3 linked regions of the Schizosaccharomyces pombe genome follow. The protein of the gene in region 3 interacts with the protein of the main gene of each other region in a biochemical or structural test. Each region holds a gene or a part of one and is shown on either strand. Other genes may lie near its edges.

Region 1 (5,584 bases), on a different chromosome or scaffold from region 3:
TTCCCCCAGAACCACCAACACTACAAGTAGATCGTACACCACAACAACCTGACCCTCAAGAAACGTCTGAGTCCTTGCCCTCGCCTAATACTGAAGAGATGGGTGAATCCTATAATGATATTCGTTTCACTTATGATTACATTGATGGAAGGTTTTTGGAGACTGCGTGTGTCACGCTTATTGTGGTAGTTGTCGGACTGGTTTTAATGAGACGCCATCAACAGCATCGACTTCAAGAACGACGTGAGCGAATCATCCGTAGACAAAACCGCGCTTAATAAAAATTGTATCTTCGATTTTTTTGCGTTCTAATTTAAAATTTTGTTGCTCGATGGATGCAGAATAAAAAATATATGTATGTTAGGGTTCGTCGGTGATTAAATCATGCTTTGAATAAATTTTGTTTTTCATCTTTCAATTGGTTGATCTATATTTGTTGTCTGTCAGCCAATTAATCGACTTTTGTTGTTTGAATGTTAAATATCTCCAGAAAAAATTTAGAACCAGAAGGTTCAAAATCAAGAAATTTCAAATTAATGAGACATGTTATTGTATAATGCTAATAATTATATAAATTAAAGTCATAAACTCAGCCTGGAACGATTCATTGTTACATGTAAAGAATTTCGATACCAGCTCGGCGCAATTTGTATGTAAACGATTAAGGTACCTCTGTACGTTCAATTAGTATACCCTTGATTTTGGTGTAAGCTAGCTAAACATATTTAAGTTCGTACTAAAGGTTTTCTAACTAGTACGAACGAAAATTTTTTTAACAATAGTAAGGAGTCCTTTACGATTTCCAATCACCATTTTCTTCATCAAAAGACATCAAATGAACAGGAACACCAAACTGATTTAGAAACATACTCATTGTAAATTCAGTTCGTACTTCCTGAATTTGCCCTTTATTTTCACCTTCTTCAATACGAAAGGACTGAGTAACACCTCCAGCCAAACGAATACGTTCAGCCATTGGTTTAAAAAGTACTTCAGCGGCTTGCTGAGCAGCATTTTTCCATTTCTGTATCAACGTTTGCAAGTCTTTATCTTCATTTTTGGCTTCAACCTTTCGTGCAGTTTCGGCGGTTATGAGCTGCTCTTGTAAATTTCTGACTTCTTTTTCAAGTTTTAAACGACGAGAAAGCAACTGTGTGATTTCAGGGTCGGACTTTGGATTAAGGCAATTAGAGATAGGTGACTTGAAAAGTCGTTTTTGCCGTTTTATTGAATTAGGCGTTGTTCTTAAGGGAGAAGTAACAGGTTCTGAAGAAGTGTTTGTTTCATCAGAGTTAAGATTTGTTACAGCTAACGATGGTTTTAGATTAGTGTCTGCAACTTGAGGACTGGCAGTTTGTCTTAAGGGGCTTTTGAACGGCTTAAGAAGTATATTTTTGGCTTCTCGAGCCCTTTTCTTTGAAAAAGGTGTAGTAATTGGTAAAGAAGTATGTATTTTTGTATCTCGCAGGTCCGGCGTCAAAGCCTTCTCATTCTCTGGATGTACTGTTTCTGACTGCTCGATAAAACCTAGGTTATCTGAGTGATTGCCACTGTTATTGCATTTAGGAGGGTTTTCTATTCCTAACTGACCCTGTGAGTCACGTAAATCACTTTCGCTTAGGGAAACTTTCAAATCTTCTTTACACTGTGAAGTAGCATTTTCATTGAGTTCAGAGTTAATTGTTTGCGACATTTTCAGTTAAATCGTTTTAAAGTACTAATTCGAAGATGAAAGAGTGAATGTTAAATTATAACAAAGATGCAATGAAGCGCGTAACTTTTGTCAACAAACGCGTTGAGTGTAATAGTTGAATGTTTAAACTCTAACTTCAAATAATTAAATGAATTGAATATTAATTGTTATAGAAATGAAGAAATACCACAAATTCCAGATAAACGTTGAAAACGTTTTACTAGCAGAAGGTGAAAATAACAGCAAGCAACAAGAACTTAGGTAGAAGAAGACTGAAGCACATGACTGGTGGTTCCAAAAAATTAAATGTTTATACAAATTACGATAGTAATAAACTAAAAGGTTTATTAATTTACAAATTTGTTTTTTAACCTTTTTTAAACCGCGTAGGCTTTGTTAGAAGGTAATCTGGGAATACCACCTAACTCTACTGACAATACTAGGAGAAAAGATTTTGGTACCTACAGAAGGTAATATTTAAGATAAATAGATATCTTAAAAATTCACTTGCAATTCTCGATGAGTAAAAAAGAACATTGAAGGAAAGGACATTAAAATTGCTGGAGGATTTTGTTTAAAGTATCAAATTCATGCCGTCTTCGTATAAAATTTAGAGAACCGGTTTAAATATTATTTCATTAACCAAGTTGACGAAGAAATTACTTAAATTTTGAAAACTTGCTACAATCGTCATTGAGAGATTCAAGAGTTCGTATTTTTTTTTTACAATTGCAGAACAATGTCTATTGACTTTGATTGGTCAAAGTTAGACTCAGAATTAGAAGCAAAAGTTTTACATCTTCTCGAAGGACAAGTTTCGAATTTGTCGCTACCATCTTATATAAAGCATTTAAAGGTTGTTGACTTCCATTTCGGCAAAGTCTCACCTCAGATTACTATTCAAGAAATCGGCGATCCTGATCCCCAATTTTATGAAAATGAAGCTTTCGAATTAGCTAACCAAGAACTAGAGGGTGATCAATGCTCCCGCAATAATGTTTCACCAGTGCTTACGGATCTTCCACCTTACGCTGCTGAACATCCATTTTCAAGACTAGCATATTTTAATCCCGCATTTAATTCACCCGGGATTCTATCTGCAAGTGGACTCACAAGCCCAATTCCTGAAAGTCGCCCAAGTACTCCAATGGATAATCATCAAGAAAGAGATCGTTCTAACGATTTCCAAGTTACTGCACACGTATCTTATGACGGAGACGCAAATCTAAGCCTGGAAGCGGTTCTATCGATGAATTACCCGAACTCTGAATTTGCAGTTCTTCCATTCAAACTTTCATTTATTAGGATTTCCATCGATGCCATTGCTGTTTTGGCTAAAATGGGAAAGCGGACGCATCTATGCTTCGTTGATACATTGCTGCACGGAACTGGAGAGCATGCATCAAGTGTTATTCGAGATTTAACAGTGGAAAGTATTATTGGAGAATCTAATAAACAGCTGCTAAAAAATGTTGCTAAAGTCGAGAAATTTGTATCGGAAAAAGTTAAACGTATTATTGAGGATGAACTTGTCTGGCCTAGCTATATAACCATTGAATAATTCTTTACAATTATCCTAAATATATAAAAAATTTCCTTTAATCTCCTACTTAAAGGTTTAGGGATTTAGAAAATATTTTTGTCTATACATTGAGCTCTCTCATCTACCTCAACTTACGTTAATGAAACCATTTTCTCCTTCTCAAACCAATTTTGAAAAGGAACAACTTTGCTTTGGTGTATATCAACTTAAGGATTGCTACCAGCAAGTAATTGAGGCACTCTCGCTTGGTATTCGCGTAATTGATTCAGCAATTACATATCGAAATGAAAAAGAATGTGAACAAGCCATTCAAGATTTCTGCCATCAAAATGTGAATATTAAACGTGAAGATATCACCTTAATAACTAAGATTCCTGACTCCTTACAAGGATTTGAACGTACCTGGAAAGCGGTCGAACAGTCTCTTCGCAGAACAGGTCGTCCAAAGTTAGACGTCGTGCTAATACATTCACCAAAGTGGCCCGTACGCCGTATTGAGTCTTGGCGAGCACTATTGCAGCATCAAAAAGAAGGAAGGATAAACAAAATTGGAGTTTCCAACTATAATATTCATCATTTGGAAGAAATTATCAGTCTTGGGTTGCCCCTTCCAGCTATTAATCAGGTCGAATTTTCTGCATTCAATAACAGGCCTACTTTTCTTTCTTACTGTTTTAATCACGGTATTTTAGTACAGGCTTTTTCACCGCTAACAAGAGGATATCGTCTTAGTGATATTCGACTCTTAGATTTATCCTTAAAGTACAATAAAACACCGGCGAATATTCTTCTTCGTTATTGCCTTCAGAAAGGGGTTTCACCAATATTCAAAGCTTCGTCGTTTGTTCATATCCATGAGAACGTGAAGGCTGAGCAATTCATGCTTGACCCATCAGATATGGATGTCATGGATACTTGGGATGAAGAATTCGTGAGTAAACCTACTTGGAATCCTATTATACTTCCTTGAAACATTATAAAAATGATTTTTTGTTAAACTTATATCTCATTGTATGTAGCTTATCATAAATTATGTCTTTGTAAAATATGTGGTATCTCCAAAGTGCTGAGCACTAACCAAATACCAACCACGAACGTCTAATGGAGAGGGCGGATTTTTTCTGGATTGCATAAAATGAGTTATAATATATCTTTGGATTCATTACCTTGTAAGTTTTTTTTTTATGTCTTCTAATCAAATTATTTAGACTTTGAATCTACTTATAACGAAGAAGATAGATCAGCAGCTGCTCAAATTGTTGAGGAGGAGCTAAAGAGATCTGGAGGTTTACTAATTAAACAAGAGGAACAGAAAAAGAAATTTCAATCCCATCGTTTATCAGATCGACTGGAAAATGCCATTGTTGCGGCTGGAAAGGGAGAAAAACTTGCAGCCATCGACGTTCAACGCTACATACAGCTAAAACCACCGGGAACCCGTGAAAGCCTGTTGCAGTCCGCTGTTGTATGGGAATATCAAAAATCTCGCAATGATAACCTTTATTTGCTAGAAAAGCATGGAGAAAAAGCATTTGATAGTTCGTTGGAGGCTTTAGAAGTTCAGCTAGAATTATTAGAAAAAGAGTTAGTAAACACCAAAAAACTTTCGCAAGGATGTAATCGTAAAAGGAAGCATTATCAAATGGAAGTGGGTGCCCGACTTGCTGAAGCTGAAGTAAAGTTTGGACAATTGCTGCAGAGCAGCATTCAGTGCCGTGTTGCTACTCTCTTGTCATAATATCAATTTGATTGAACGTAAATATTATCCCTAATGAATATCATAATCAGAGTTACATTCTTGCGTTAAGGTAATTCGATATAATCCAGGGTGACTAACTTAAGCTTCCTTAGCACTATGGACTTCTATGTAAATAATTAAACATGCCTCACATCAAAAAGACTCCCGGTTTTCGTTTAAGGTTAGGATTACTTTTGATAAGAGTATCCTAGTAAACAGTTAAATGTTAATACAATTACTACTATGCGCGTTATTATGGGCCAACCAAGTCGTCGATTTTTTAACTAAGTTACTTTTTGTCTAACCTCAGTAATACGTACTTTCTTGATTATATGCTATGGATCGTGATCAATAGCTATAAACACTTCGTCGCAGCTTCCTTGTTACTGAAATCTTATTATTACTTATACGTTTAACAGCTGAATGATTTCTCTTAATTTAAAGTTTTTCTCTTTACATTTTCGAATACTTTACAAAAATTTATCGCAAACTTTATAGGAAAAATTGTCGTTAGATGAACTATGACTATCTAGGAACCAATAGTTCTTTTTCATAAATGCATCAACGAGTAAGTTAAAAAAGCACAAGCTTAGACGGTACCACACTTGTC
Region 2 (5,991 bases), 680 kb from region 3:
AATGTTGATTACCGGCTTGGTTTCCTGTTGGATTCCATTGAAAAAACAAATGCCATTTTCCATTACTGTAAACCAGACCATTGGGATCATTCATAAATCCTTCTGGAGGCGTGAAATGTATGCATGGTCTCACAGGCATCGATTCAAATGTTTACTGTGCGTTTTATATGCAAACTTAAAGCTTTTATATTTAATAATGTTTGAGTATCACTAGAACATACAAATTTTTAAGCTTTGTGTAAAAAGTGGTACATCGGTCGTATGCAAGGAATATTAAGCAATTCGGTGCAAATCAGTCAAAAAGCTCAAATTCAATCCGATAGGCTTAAACATTCTCAATCTACCAACTCTTCAGTTTGAAACTCACATCTATCTAGACTATTGCTTGATTAACTCAACACCCACTTAGCCAAGCAAATCATTACGGGTTGTGTACTCGAAATTAAAATGTCGTCCAACTACTGTATTTTTTACAGCAGCTACCAAATACACACATATACTACGACTGTAAAAAAAAAAGAAATTTAAAGAAAGACAAAAAGAAAAAAAAATTAGAAGAAAATATACGAGAATGTAATGAGACTATTCCATCGTGTAGTACACAAGATCTAAACGAAAAAGAACTCTTAGACAAATAAATTTTTTAAAATTGGTTCATAGTAGTGAAAGTATGGCATCAATCATGAGCAACGAGCTATCTATGCGTCCGCCTTGGGCTCAGCTTCGCCTTCTGGAGCATTGGAAGGAGCGTTTTCTTGAGCTCCCTCGGTGTTACCACCAGCAGCGGCGGCACTGTATTCAGCATCAGAAGTCCATAAGGTAAGGTTGTCACGCAACAATTGCATGATTAAAGTAGAATCTTTGTAGGATTCCTCGGAAAGGCTGTCCAACTCGGAGATAGCTTCATCAAAGGCTTGCTTGGCTAAGTAGCAAGCACGGTCGGGGGAGTTCAAGATCTCATAGTAGAAAACGGAGAAATTAAGAGCAAGACCTAAGCGGATAGGATGAGTAGGTGCAAGTTCGGCGGTAGCAATTTCAGAAGCGGCCTTGTAACCTTCAAGAGATTGATCAGCGGAGTGTTGGCGCTTCTCACCAACGGCAAACTCAGCAAGGTAACGATAGTAGTCACCCTTCATCTTGTAGTAGAAAACCTTGGATTCGGCAGAGGCAGCATTAGGGATAAGGTGCTTCTCAAGAACGGTCAAGATATCTTGGCAAATAGTGTCAAGTTCTTGTTCAATCTTTTGACGATATTCCTTAATTAATTCAACTTGAGCAGTATTGCCTTTGCTCTCCTCCTTTTGCTCGATGGAGGAAACGATACGCCAAGACGCCCGGCGAGCTCCAATTACATTCTTATAAGCAACAGAGAGCAAGTTACGCTCTTCGACGGTCAATTCTTGATCAGTGGAGGCAACGCTTTTCATGTTTTCAACCATGCCTGGATATATTAGTGATAAGTACATAAGGATTTCGACTTTCGAGATGCGCAGCATGATGTATTTTCCGTATGTCTGTATGAACAAAAAAATTTCTTCTCGGAGTAAAAACAATTAGAAATAAAGTTAGGAAACAAGTTGAAATACTAAAACACCTTTTCAACATCACCATAGCCAATGCACAGTTCATTTGACAACCACCATACAACACACAAACACAAACATTCTACCAACTAAGCCTCTGATCACAACTATGTCAAAAATAAATGCAATCGATGTTTTACAGGAAGCCCGCTTACTCAAAAGCTTCCGCCGATAGAACCTTGGATGTGTGTAATTTTGTTCTTGCAGAAATAACACCAAATATATCTCTGCTCTACGCGTCTCTAAACCTTATAAAAGCACATACCTTCATAGCGCTCGGCTTGCTCAGCAAGTTTGGCTAAATAAACAGCATCTTCACGAGAAGTAGTAGACATTTTTACCAAACGTTCGAAAATGTGAGTATATCGTGGTGGTTGGCACTGGAAAGGTTGCGGAACGTCGTATGGTAGAAAAAGGACTGCTCCCACAGTAAAATTTCGTAGCACTGCGTAAACGTGCCCTGTGCTTCTGTATGTCGAATTTAGCGACTGCGCATCGTAATTTATCGGCACGACAGAAGGTTATCGAAAAACCTGGCTGCTGGACTGTTCTCGTTTGTTGCGACAAAGCCCCGGGGTAAACACATCCTTGGCAACGGATCAAGAGAAACTGTACCCCTTTTGTCATATTGACGCAAAAGGTAAACATCGAAAGGAAGGTGCCTGAACACGTGCAAATCTGCAGGCCTTCATAGAATCGGGAAATAAACTGGAACAAAGGTGATGACGAATTCTGTCTCACACGATATAATTGTTTGGTGGAAGTCAGATTGTCCAACGATTGCAATGAAAGGCGCTCAGCTTTTGTTAATTGATACATGCGATAGCAACTTCACATGACACTACTTAAACAAATTTGTTGACTCGTAAGAATAAGTTGCTTTTGGGGGTTTGCGCCATTCGCAACTATTTGATAAATGTGTAGTTAAGAAAATCTTGGTTTGGTTATCTAAAATGGCGCGAGCTTCTCATCCAAACTTTTTCTTTAAAGCCATTTTAGAGACCAATAGTGAACTGATTATTGTATTAAAGATATAGTATTGCAGCAGTAAAATGTTAACATTAACGTAATCAGTGCACTCAATTTTGTTAAAACATAAGCACAAACGCAATGATAAAAGGCATTGCTGAACTTGGCTGATCTTTTTTCTTATTTCTCTTCTTTTTTTGTTTTTTTTTTGGAATAGGTAGAAAATCAATTAGGAAACGTCTGCTATGCCACCAGGTGTAATCACATAACTGCACTCGGCTTCAGGCATATCTGGAGAATCATTCAATTTTGCGACACGTTCCTCACCTCGACCTTTTCTTAACAGCAGACGGGTCGCGCTTGCGTGAGCCATGACATGGCCTCCTACAGGTTTTCGATCGTTGGACGCAAACATCATTGCTGCTCCGGGGTCTGCTTGAACCTGATTTGTGACAAAGACCGCTACGTTAAACTCTTCAGAAATATGATTTAATCTAGCAAGCATAATGTTTAATTTTTGTTGCCTTTCTGATAATTCCCCGCGACCCGAATAGTCAACCCGAAATAGTGCCATGATGGAATCGACAATTAACAAACGGTATTGGCCATCTTCAGCAAAAATGGTTCCTAATTTTGTGATGTATTCCATTTGTTGCTCAGAGTTGTATGCTCTACTGACAATGATATTCTCCATAGCCTGATCGGCGTCTACACCAAATCGTTCTGCAATGGCTTTGATTCGATCAGGTCGAAATGTTCCTTCTGTATCTATGAATGCTACTTTTCCTTCGGCCCCGCCCATATCTCGAGGAAGCTGGGCAGTGACACACAATGTATGCGACATTTGTGTTTTACCACAACGAAACTCTCCAAATACTTCTGTAATACTCATCGACTGAATTCCCCCTCCAAGGATGCCATTGAGTGCCTCGGATCCTGTCGAAATACTCCATACTTTTTTACGATTTTGACTGATTTCCATCGCAGTGGAAAAGTTTGCTGGGCACATTTTTGATGCCGCTTCCTTCAGTTTATCCACTTTGGCTTCGCTGAAACCTTTGATTTTAAGGAGAAATCTCTTTGTGGACATATGGACTCCTTGCACCGTACAAACGCCTGCTTGCTTCAATTTTATGATATCGGTCATACCAATCCCTTTGATTATGTTAGTAGATATTTAAAGCAAATACTGGGAGTCTTATAACTGCCGTATACTCATTCAAGCTTACCGTGAGCAGTTAGGTCTTCAATGTCACTAAATATCATTTGTTCATCATCATTCCCCTCTGCGAATTCTTCCATTGCACTTTATTTTTATATTGAACGTGTATTAATCAAATTACACGGTTTTTGGTTGTTGTTCGTACTATGTAGAAAGAAGAATTGCTGTAGTTATCCACGATATATATATTGCGGAAATTCCCAAAATTACCTCTCTAAATCACAACAAAAAAACAGTAGATCTATTTGTTTCTTTAGTTTAATTACTTTACAAGTTCAACTATAGAGTATATGCACTCATAATCATGTATTATACTTGATGCAGCTACATGTAAACAATGAACGCGTCGCGAAATATTGCTACTAAAAATGAAAACTAAACTCCATAGTATCTATACTCAAAACAAAATGCTTCAATCCTTAAAATGCCATAAATGAGTAAAACTGTTGGAGAGAACCTACCAAATGGGATGACAATTCATAGTCTTAAGTTACTAGTATGAAACTGCTTTCTAAAAAAGGGAAAAGTTAATCACGGTAAATCTTATTTAATTTTATGAGTAACTCTAAAAGTGCAAAAGACTCGTCAATTTCCTTCATTTGCAAAGTCTCAACACCAAAAACACAATACTTATGGTGAACCAATAACTGTCTGAGTAAATTTATACATAGCCATAAACGATTCTGAAGAGAGAGAGTGGGCGTCTCCCTCAAAAGGTCGATCGAGACATTTTAACTGTAGATTGTTGATGAGGTATTTAGCTGAAGCACTCGACAAGACAGAGGGAACAATAGGATCTTCGGTCATATAAGTCAAAAGAATGGGTATCTCTTTAGCAACTCGAGAGAGAGCGGATGGAAATTTTGAAGCCAAAGGTAAGAACCCTGAATGCCCCATAATTCCTGCTAAACGTTTGGGATAGGTAAGTCCAGCGTAAAGGGAAACCATACAACCTAGAGAAAATGACGAGTTAGTAAGCAATATACTTTTGAAAAGTGAAAACCATTTCACTTTTTTTTTGAAAATGCAATGACTAGCGAGTTAACCGCTTTCATGGCAGCTCATACCTTGTGAAAATCCGCCAATTAATATGCGATCACTAGGAATCCCCAAAGCAAGTTCTGCATCAATCAATTCATGCAATTGGCCTGCTGAACGTAGTATCCCATTCTCGTCCTCCCTCTTCATATCCGCAAAACTGTAGATATCATACCTAAAAAAGTTTTAGCGAACATTGTACTTTATCATCAAGCAGAACAATTACTTACCATGCTGGCATTTTCATGCCATTGTTGACGGTAACAGGGATAGATGGACTATATACAAAATAATTAGCATCAAAATACAAAGTATGTAATGCGAATTCTCATTCATTCATCACACATTACTTTAGACAATTGCATGATTAAATACATTCTTTTACTTACGCATTGGGAAAGATCCACTTAATATGCTTAAAATTCGACCACGTATTTGCCATAAAAGACCATCCTTGTCCACTATCTCCTAAACCTAAGATAAATGTGTTACTATTATGAAGAAAATATACGATATGTTTGTCTCAACATTATCATCGTTCATACCATGAAGGAAAATCACAGTGGCCGTATGCGCCACGCTGGGATTAATTATTACTGAATTGAGTTTGGCAGTCATAATGAAACGTTTTAAAAAGTACTAAGGGAATGGAGGTGTTGCAATAGGGCAAACACCAGTTTTATAAGACAGGTATTTGTATCAAAGCTAATTGAATCAAAAGCGAAGGTATGGTGTAAATATATAATATTTCCCTTATGATTTTTTCTTTTGCAGGCGAAAAATAATCGTAAAAAATGGTGTTAGCGTTAATCCAAGCGATATATGTATATCTTGAAACTAAGAATCCAAATTGAGTGCTGGCTATTACAATACGTTATCGCAATTTGTATACTAAGAATTTTGTTCCAAAGGTTTTTTTTTTTTGTTTATAAAACACAAAATTAGCTTGACTAATTTTTTTTTTTTTTTGTTATTTATATTGCTAGCCAAAGATGCTTTCTGCATTTCTTCAACCGCAGAGTCGTACTATACAATCCAACCACATTACAAAAATAACTTTTTATTTTCAATGGGAAAGTATTACTTGAGAATAGTTATAAAACAGACTGCTTAAATCTGTCAGCTGAAAACGCTTGTGCCAGAACATTACTCAATATCAATCGCGTATTCATATTCCTA
Region 3 (6,689 bases):
CATTAAAGGGAAAGAGGAGTACCCCAATATACACATAGATTGAAAAATGCTAATGTTGGCCCCTAGTAATTTTATATTTAAAGAACAAACCGCTTCCCCAAACCATATGAGCGCGACAACGACTGTAAAAACAGATTCTCGTTCAATCTTGTCAGTAGACAAGGCAAGTGCTAAAGCAATTACGAGGGAAAAAATCAAAGGACCCCACAAGTCCCAGTCGCGTAGTACTTGAGCATTTTTGGGATACAAAACATAGACGAGTTTTTCACCAATAGCTCTAAATTCATTAAATAATGTAACACGAATGGGTTCGTCCAGAGAATCTCCTCCAGTGAATCTTGTTTCAACAATTGACTCTCCAGCAATGTTGTCCGGCTCTATCGCTCGAGACTCCACATCGAGGCTGGATCGAACAGGATCCATGCGAAGAAGATTTTCCATTTCATCCTGTTCTATTTCTGTGTTATGTTTTCCTATGTCTGTCATTTCTAAAATATAAGATGGTAATTGAGTATGGTTTTGGTTTGGTACTTCGCTGGTACATTTCTCTGTTAATTTTGTAGTAGCACACTACTATGCTGGTCCTCAAAACAGTAAGATACCACCACCATGAATCCTAAAGATACAATTAACTATCATTTCAGTGAATCTAATAAAAATTTAATTATGTTCCTAAAACTTACAATATATCCTCTTAAGAATTGATTTTTGATAAAAGTGTGCTAATAAATACATAAAGAAGAAAAAGAATATTGTATTAAGTAAAGCAACCGAAATCCCAGAAGTTCAATGAAGCTTGAACATGAAGTCCTACTTTAGTCAATGCAAATATTCAAAATAATAGTAAAAATTTCAAGAATTTAGCATTTTGCGTGCGTTTTAATGCAAGTGGATCCTTAGGCTTCTTTAGTATAAAAAAGAAAGAAAAAGAAAGAAATTCTTCTTACTTTAATACCATAGCAAACTTTTTATATTTAATTTTTTATTTGAATTTGTAACAAGACAAGCATTTTTGGGTAGTAGAGATAAATATAATCATATAGGTCTTTAAATGTAAAAAAGAACGAAAACTTCTATGAAAAACTTTTAGCGAATATTAATTTAAGTGAAACATTTTGTTCACCAATGTAACCCAATCACCCAAACATAATTAATGGCAATTACAAAAACCTGATAGTTTAATGCGAATAAACGTAATGAAGATTTAGCAGAGAGTTAATAAGTGTGATCAAATGGTTTTTGCTCTTTTTTAAGAGCATACTTGAAAGAAAAATATGAGATACAGAGTAAATCGTAAGGAAATTATCAAAAAAGCATCACATACATATCTATCCTTACAAACTCATCCCATAGAATTTGCAAAATAATAAATAAAAATGAAACGATACTAAAATAATTTAGACAGGTGCGATAATTTCCTTGGGATCACCAACACCATCAGAATTAATGGCAAATATGGCTTCGCTCTCAGGCAAACACGGACTATCGTAAATTTTACAAATGCGTTGCTCACCACGACCTTTCCGCAAAGAAAGTCGAGTGGTACTCGAATGGGCAAGAATATTACCACCAATTGGTTTTTTGGGATCAGGATTAAAGGAAATGCCATCCACTTGGGCGACCACCTGATTAGTAATGACAACAGCAATACCGAATTCATCTGCCAAGCGCTGTAGCGTCCGCATAAACCTTGCTAAATGCATTTGACGAGCAGAGAGCTCTCCACGACCAGAGAAATCTGTTCTATACAAGGCAGTACAACTATCGACAACTAACAATGAAAATCGGGATTCAGACATCATGTTTGCCGCTTGTTGGAGCAACTCTAGTTGATGGTCTGCATTGTAAGCACGAGCATATGCAACGTTATCCAAAACTTCCTCACCATTTAAGCCATATCGATCTGCAACAGCCAACAAACGAACAGGACGGAAAGTTCCTTCTGTATCGATATATAAGCATTTACCTTCACCACCACCCATATCGATAGGAAGCTGACAGGTTACCGCAAGTGTATGGCAGATTTGACTTTTACCGGTACGGAATTCACCAAATAATTCTGTAATGCTTCCAGTCTCAACGCCTCCTTGTAACAAAGTGTCTAGTTGTTTTGATCCAGTTGTAATCGTAATTAATTCACTTCTTCGAATATGGTACTCAGTGGCGGTGGTAAATCCCATAGGAACTAGTTTGCTTGCCTCGCCAAGTAACTTATCAGCCTTTGCTTCAGAAATTCCTTTAATCAAAAGTAGTTGTCGCTTAGGAGTATAAGCAATTGATTCCACCGTGTAGTATCCGGCTTCATGAATTTTTTTTATGTCGCTAGCAGTAATCCCATTGCCTTCCAACATTTGTAAGGGCATAGGACCGGCGGCGGCCTCATCTTCTTCATCTTGTACATTCACGTCGTATTCATAATTTGATTGTGCTTGTCCATTTTCATTATTATTCATATCTGCTGCACTAACTTGCATTTCCACCTCTGTATCTGCCATTATAACTTGTTAAGCACGAAATTATCACTATTCTGGAATTGAAAAGAGTTTTTTATATTATTAAAGAAAAGAAAGATTAGGTTTTTAAAAAATAAATCAAGGAAATAGTTTTGTTAGAGAAAGAATTGGTTTATGGCAAGAATTTTCTTGCTTAGTAGGGATTGTGAAGGAATTAAAACGCGTCCGACGCGTTTTCAATCAATTGTTACCTAGTACTAGCAAGGTAACACCTACTAAATAGACACACACATTAGGGTAGGGCTGTAAAAATAGTCACGAGATAGGGAACGAAACAAAACACAGTTTTTTAACACTTGCATTTACAACAAGAGAACAGCACTGGTCAAAATGTCTGCATCTGAACTTGCTACCAGTTATTCAGCTCTCATTTTGGCTGACGAGGGTATTGAAATCACCGTACGTTATATTTTACTAGAAAAGTTGTGAATGTACTTCTACCGATACTGGTAAAAGATCTTTTCCATAGCGTGTAGTCGTCTTATTCCTTCTTATTCGGTTTTTGTTAAATTAATTTATACTAATTGTTGCGTAGTCTGACAAGCTCTTGTCTTTAACCAAGGCTGCCAACGTCGATGTTGAACCCATTTGGGCTACCATTTTCGCTAAGGCTCTTGAGGGCAAGGACCTTAAGGAACTTTTATTAAACATTGGCTCTGGTGCTGGTGCTGCTCCTGTTGCTGGCGGTGCTGCTGCTCCCGCTGCCGCTGATGGCGAAGCTCCTGCTGAAGAGAAGGAGGAAGCCAAGGAAGAGGAGGAATCTGATGAAGATATGGGATTCGGTTTGTTTGACTAATTTCCCTAATCTGCTAGCATGAACTAGTTGATCCAACTCAAAAAATAACCATTTTTCTATATCTCACTTAATATCTTCTTGTGTTTTGAAATTAAAAATTTAGACCGAGTAATCTTTATGAAACCGCCTTTGATCTGCGCCAACTATTTGTATGGCCAATGTTGGTGATTTTCAGACATATGTGAAGTAATATTATCAGGTGTAAATTGATTCACAGTACGAACTGCATATTTTGATATTAAATTTTTCAAGTTAATCGGTAGGAGTGTTTTAGTACTAATATTTAATAATAAGCATTATAGCGCTATTTTGAAATTTTAATACATCTCGGCCTCGGAGTGTAGGAGTTTGTGGCCCTTTGTAATTAGGACCGTAGTTGGAAAATGAAGTGTAAGGTTTTTGGCTGATCTTTATACATTAAGCAGGTTTTTACAAGTTAGCGTTTGCAAAATGTAAGTATGAAAGGAGATATTATCATTTATTGTTCACAAATTTCTTGCTGAATGAATGAGTTCTTAGTTATTAGGCACTGTGTATGCGATGCTTTTATTAATTCTGGCTGAAGTATAAAATTATTTAGCTATCTCTTTAAAGTTGATATTACTTTTGGGATTGATTCCGAAAAATATTCGACACATCATTTGCCCATTTTTACTAACACCGTCCCAAGGAAGACGCGAGGGCTTCAGCTATCCTCTACCACATACAACATGAATCCATCATGTGTGGTTTATGGTAAGTTAAATTTTTGTTTAAAAGTAATTCTAATAAGTAGTGGGCAATATTCCTTATGAAATGGCTGAGGAACAGGTCATTGACATCTTTAAGCAAAGTGGACCTGTGAAATCCTTTCAGTTGGTCATTGACCCTGAATCAGGGCAACCAAAGGGATATGGGTTTTGTGAATATCACGATCCTGCTACTGCAGCGTCTGCAGTTCGAAACCTTAACAACTACGATGCTGGAACACGTAGATTGCGTGTAGATTTCCCAACCGCTGATCAAATACGAAGGCTTGATAAATTATTAGGTCCTTCAAGATATGGATATTATCCTCAATCTTATGCCAATCAATCTTACACATATGGAAATAACTTCGGTTCGTATCCTCCAACCCAACCTTCTACTCAACCTCTGCCTCAGTCTTATGGATATCCTTCATATCCCCCTGCTGGCTATCGTGGTGGCTCTGCGAGGCCATCCGGCGTTTTAGCAAATGATGAAGTCTATCGCGTGTTAGCACAACTTGCACCTAACGAAATTGATTATATGTTATCTGCTATCAAAGCTCTTTGTTTGGAAGCACCGGAGCAAGCAGCTCAACTTTTTGAGACAAATCCCCAATTGAGTTATGCTGTTTTTCAAGCTATGCTTATGAAAAGATACACCTCTGAATCCGTAGTGGCAGACTTGCTGATTCCGGCCGGTGTTAATTTACCAGGTGCGCAAGAACCTAATAGAGGTTACTTTTCACCCATGCATACGTATAGCTCTGCAGTTCCTGGACCTATTAGTGTGCCGTCTGCTCCATATGGACGGGCTTCCTCAACAATCGCCGAAGTTTCACCAATGTATGGTTCGCACGCCGCACCATATGCTTCGACTCCATCTGCAGCCGTTGGATCGTCGCGGGGTTCAACCCCTGCTTCTGCCACTGTACCAATTTCTCCCGCTCGAGGTTTTCCTACTACCTCAGCTTATAATCCCGCTCCCCCTGCCTATGGAATGGCAAATCCAGCTTATGGTTCAACAGGCATCAGGTCAAGCAGTATTCCCTCATCTGGTTCCATACGAAGCCCATCCCTAACTACAACTTCTGCACAAGCTACTACAAATGCTACCAACAACATAACTACTACAACTGCAGCACAAGATGAAAATGCAACCAAGGCTGCATTAATAGCTCAATTAATGGCACTGACAGATGATCAAATCAATGTTTTGCCTCCTGACCAAAAAGAGCGAATCCTTCAAATTCGACAAGCATTGCCTAGTAGTTACAAAACGGAGAGTAAATAGACTAATGTATTATGTTTCGTTAAATATTAAATGAGATAGAAAAAAAAAGTATTTTTTTTTTAATTGGTTGCACTTGTACTTCTGTTTATTGTGTCTGTCACGTAAACCGCACTTTTGTTCGGACCAGGAATGGATCCTTTGACGAGAATACACTCGAGATCTGCATCTACCGCCCAAACCAATAAATTTTTCACTGTCCTACTCCTATGACCCATATGTCCTGCCATTTTCCTTCCTGGCAGCACACGGGATGGTGTAGTATTTTGACCTGTAGAACCTGGTGTACGGTGAGATAAAGATGCACCATGAGATGCATTTCCACCAGAAAATCCCCATCGCTTCATTACACCGGCAAATCCTTTTCCTTTTGTTATGCCTTTAACGTCGACATATTGCTTTGGCTTGAAATAATCAGTAGTGAAAATGGTTCCAGGTGATACCAATCCTGACGCATCACGAACTCGAAACTCCCGGACATGCATTTTTGGATAGATATTATGGGAAAAGAAATTCCCTTGCTCTGCTTTAGTAATAGATTTAGGCTTGCGGATTCCTGATCCAACTTGTACTGCATAATAACCATGTTTTTCTTTTGTACGCACATCAATTGCCTGCACTCTATCAAATTGTAGAATCGTTAAGGGAACCTGCATACCAGTTTTCTCATCCCAAGCATTAGTCATTCCTTTTTTGACAAGAATCACGCCTGGTCGCAATGGAATTTGCTTCCTCGCATGCGCTGCTTCCGGTAAATCATGCAAGATTTTTCGAGGGGTTAAATTTGCATGGTGTGCAAAGGTTCGAATGAGAGTCGGGGATATTAAGAACCGTGATTGCATCTCTTCAGCAGACTTTACAAAGCTTCAAGCAGGTTGAGTAGGAAACCTTGTTGACAACGATGTTCGGAGTATAGAAGCTCATCGTTATTTTGCTGAAAATTTATTTAGTGCATTGTAACGTATCTGATAGGAAGTTGAGGTGAATCAACTTCATAGTCTAAACATTTCTCAGATAGTATCTGTGTAAGATGAGAAGAGCAATTCAACTGCGTTTTAAGTCACGTCAATAATATGAGAAATACTAACTGACAATATTTAAAATTGTAAAATATAGCCCTTCTATATTGCTTATAGTAAGGTATTCCAAGAGTTTCAGTAGACATCGAACAATGAATGCATAACGGAGTAGGTAAAGCTACTTTTTTCTCTTTTTTTATTAAAAAAAAAATTACAACAGGTTTGAATATTCATCTTACTTTATACTCATTTGTGTGGTATATTGGACGGATAAAAGCGAATAATTACTATTTGTACAACCACAATACTTTCCCATCGCGATGTAATTTCTGTCAAGTATTTTAC

Evidence for each region.
Region 1: the proteins of rad51 (region 3) and sfr1 form a complex in vitro, tested with the Schizosaccharomyces pombe proteins (5 studies listed by BioGRID).
Region 2: the proteins of rad51 (region 3) and rad24 form a complex in vitro, tested with the Schizosaccharomyces pombe proteins (one study listed by BioGRID).

The regions. Positions count from the first base shown.
Region 1 is NC_003423.3:1,576,797-1,582,380, reverse strand, and holds sfr1 (DNA recombination mediator Sfr1), read right to left. Parts: upstream 1,926-5,584; 5' UTR 1,694-1,925; coding exon 794-1,693; 3' UTR 501-793; downstream 1-500. Other genes in the region: hrd3 (HRD ubiquitin ligase complex subunit), read left to right, coding at 1-278; ERMES complex subunit, membrane tether and lipid transfer protein Mdm12, read left to right, coding at 2,433-3,254; SPOM_SPBC28F2.05C (xylose and arabinose reductase), read left to right, coding at 3,376-4,206; Prp19 complex subunit Cwf7, read left to right, coding at 4,372-4,405, 4,445-4,974; ppi1 (cyclophilin family peptidyl-prolyl cis-trans isomerase Cyp2), read right to left, coding at 5,564-5,584. UniProt on the Schizosaccharomyces pombe protein: Involved in DNA recombination repair and meiotic chromosome segregation.
Region 2 is NC_003424.3:3,380,195-3,386,185, reverse strand, and holds rad24 (14-3-3 protein Rad24), read right to left. Parts: upstream 1,960-5,991; 5' UTR 1,919-1,959; coding exon 1,849-1,918; exon of another isoform or gene 1,650-1,848; intron 1,442-1,649; coding exon 699-1,441; 3' UTR 501-698; downstream 1-500. Other genes in the region: inv2 (beta-fructofuranosidase), read right to left, coding at 1-139; RecA family ATPase Dmc1, read right to left, coding at 2,782-3,707, 3,782-3,854; SPOM_SPAC8E11.04C (palmitoyl-(protein) hydrolase), read right to left, coding at 4,405-4,727, 4,842-4,987, 5,043-5,090, 5,202-5,286, 5,358-5,430. UniProt on the Schizosaccharomyces pombe protein: Acts in cell cycle and stress checkpoint signaling by sequestering signal transducers regulated by the checkpoints. Required for the DNA damage checkpoint that ensures that DNA damage is repaired before mitosis is attempted.
Region 3 is NC_003424.3:2,697,610-2,704,298, forward strand, and holds rad51 (RecA family recombinase Rad51/Rhp51), read right to left. Parts: upstream 2,661-6,689; 5' UTR 2,496-2,660; coding exon 1,398-2,495; 3' UTR 501-1,397; downstream 1-500. Other genes in the region: SPOM_SPAC644.13C (Rab GTPase-binding protein), read right to left, coding at 1-486; rpp101 (ribosomal protein P1), read left to right, coding at 2,844-2,912, 3,049-3,309; rna15 (RNA-binding protein), read left to right, coding at 4,020-4,044, 4,085-5,328; mrpl9 (mitochondrial 54S ribosomal protein uL3m), read right to left, coding at 5,388-6,167. UniProt on the Schizosaccharomyces pombe protein: Required both for recombination and for the repair of DNA damage caused by X-rays. Binds to single and double-stranded DNA, in the presence of magnesium, and exhibits DNA-dependent ATPase activity.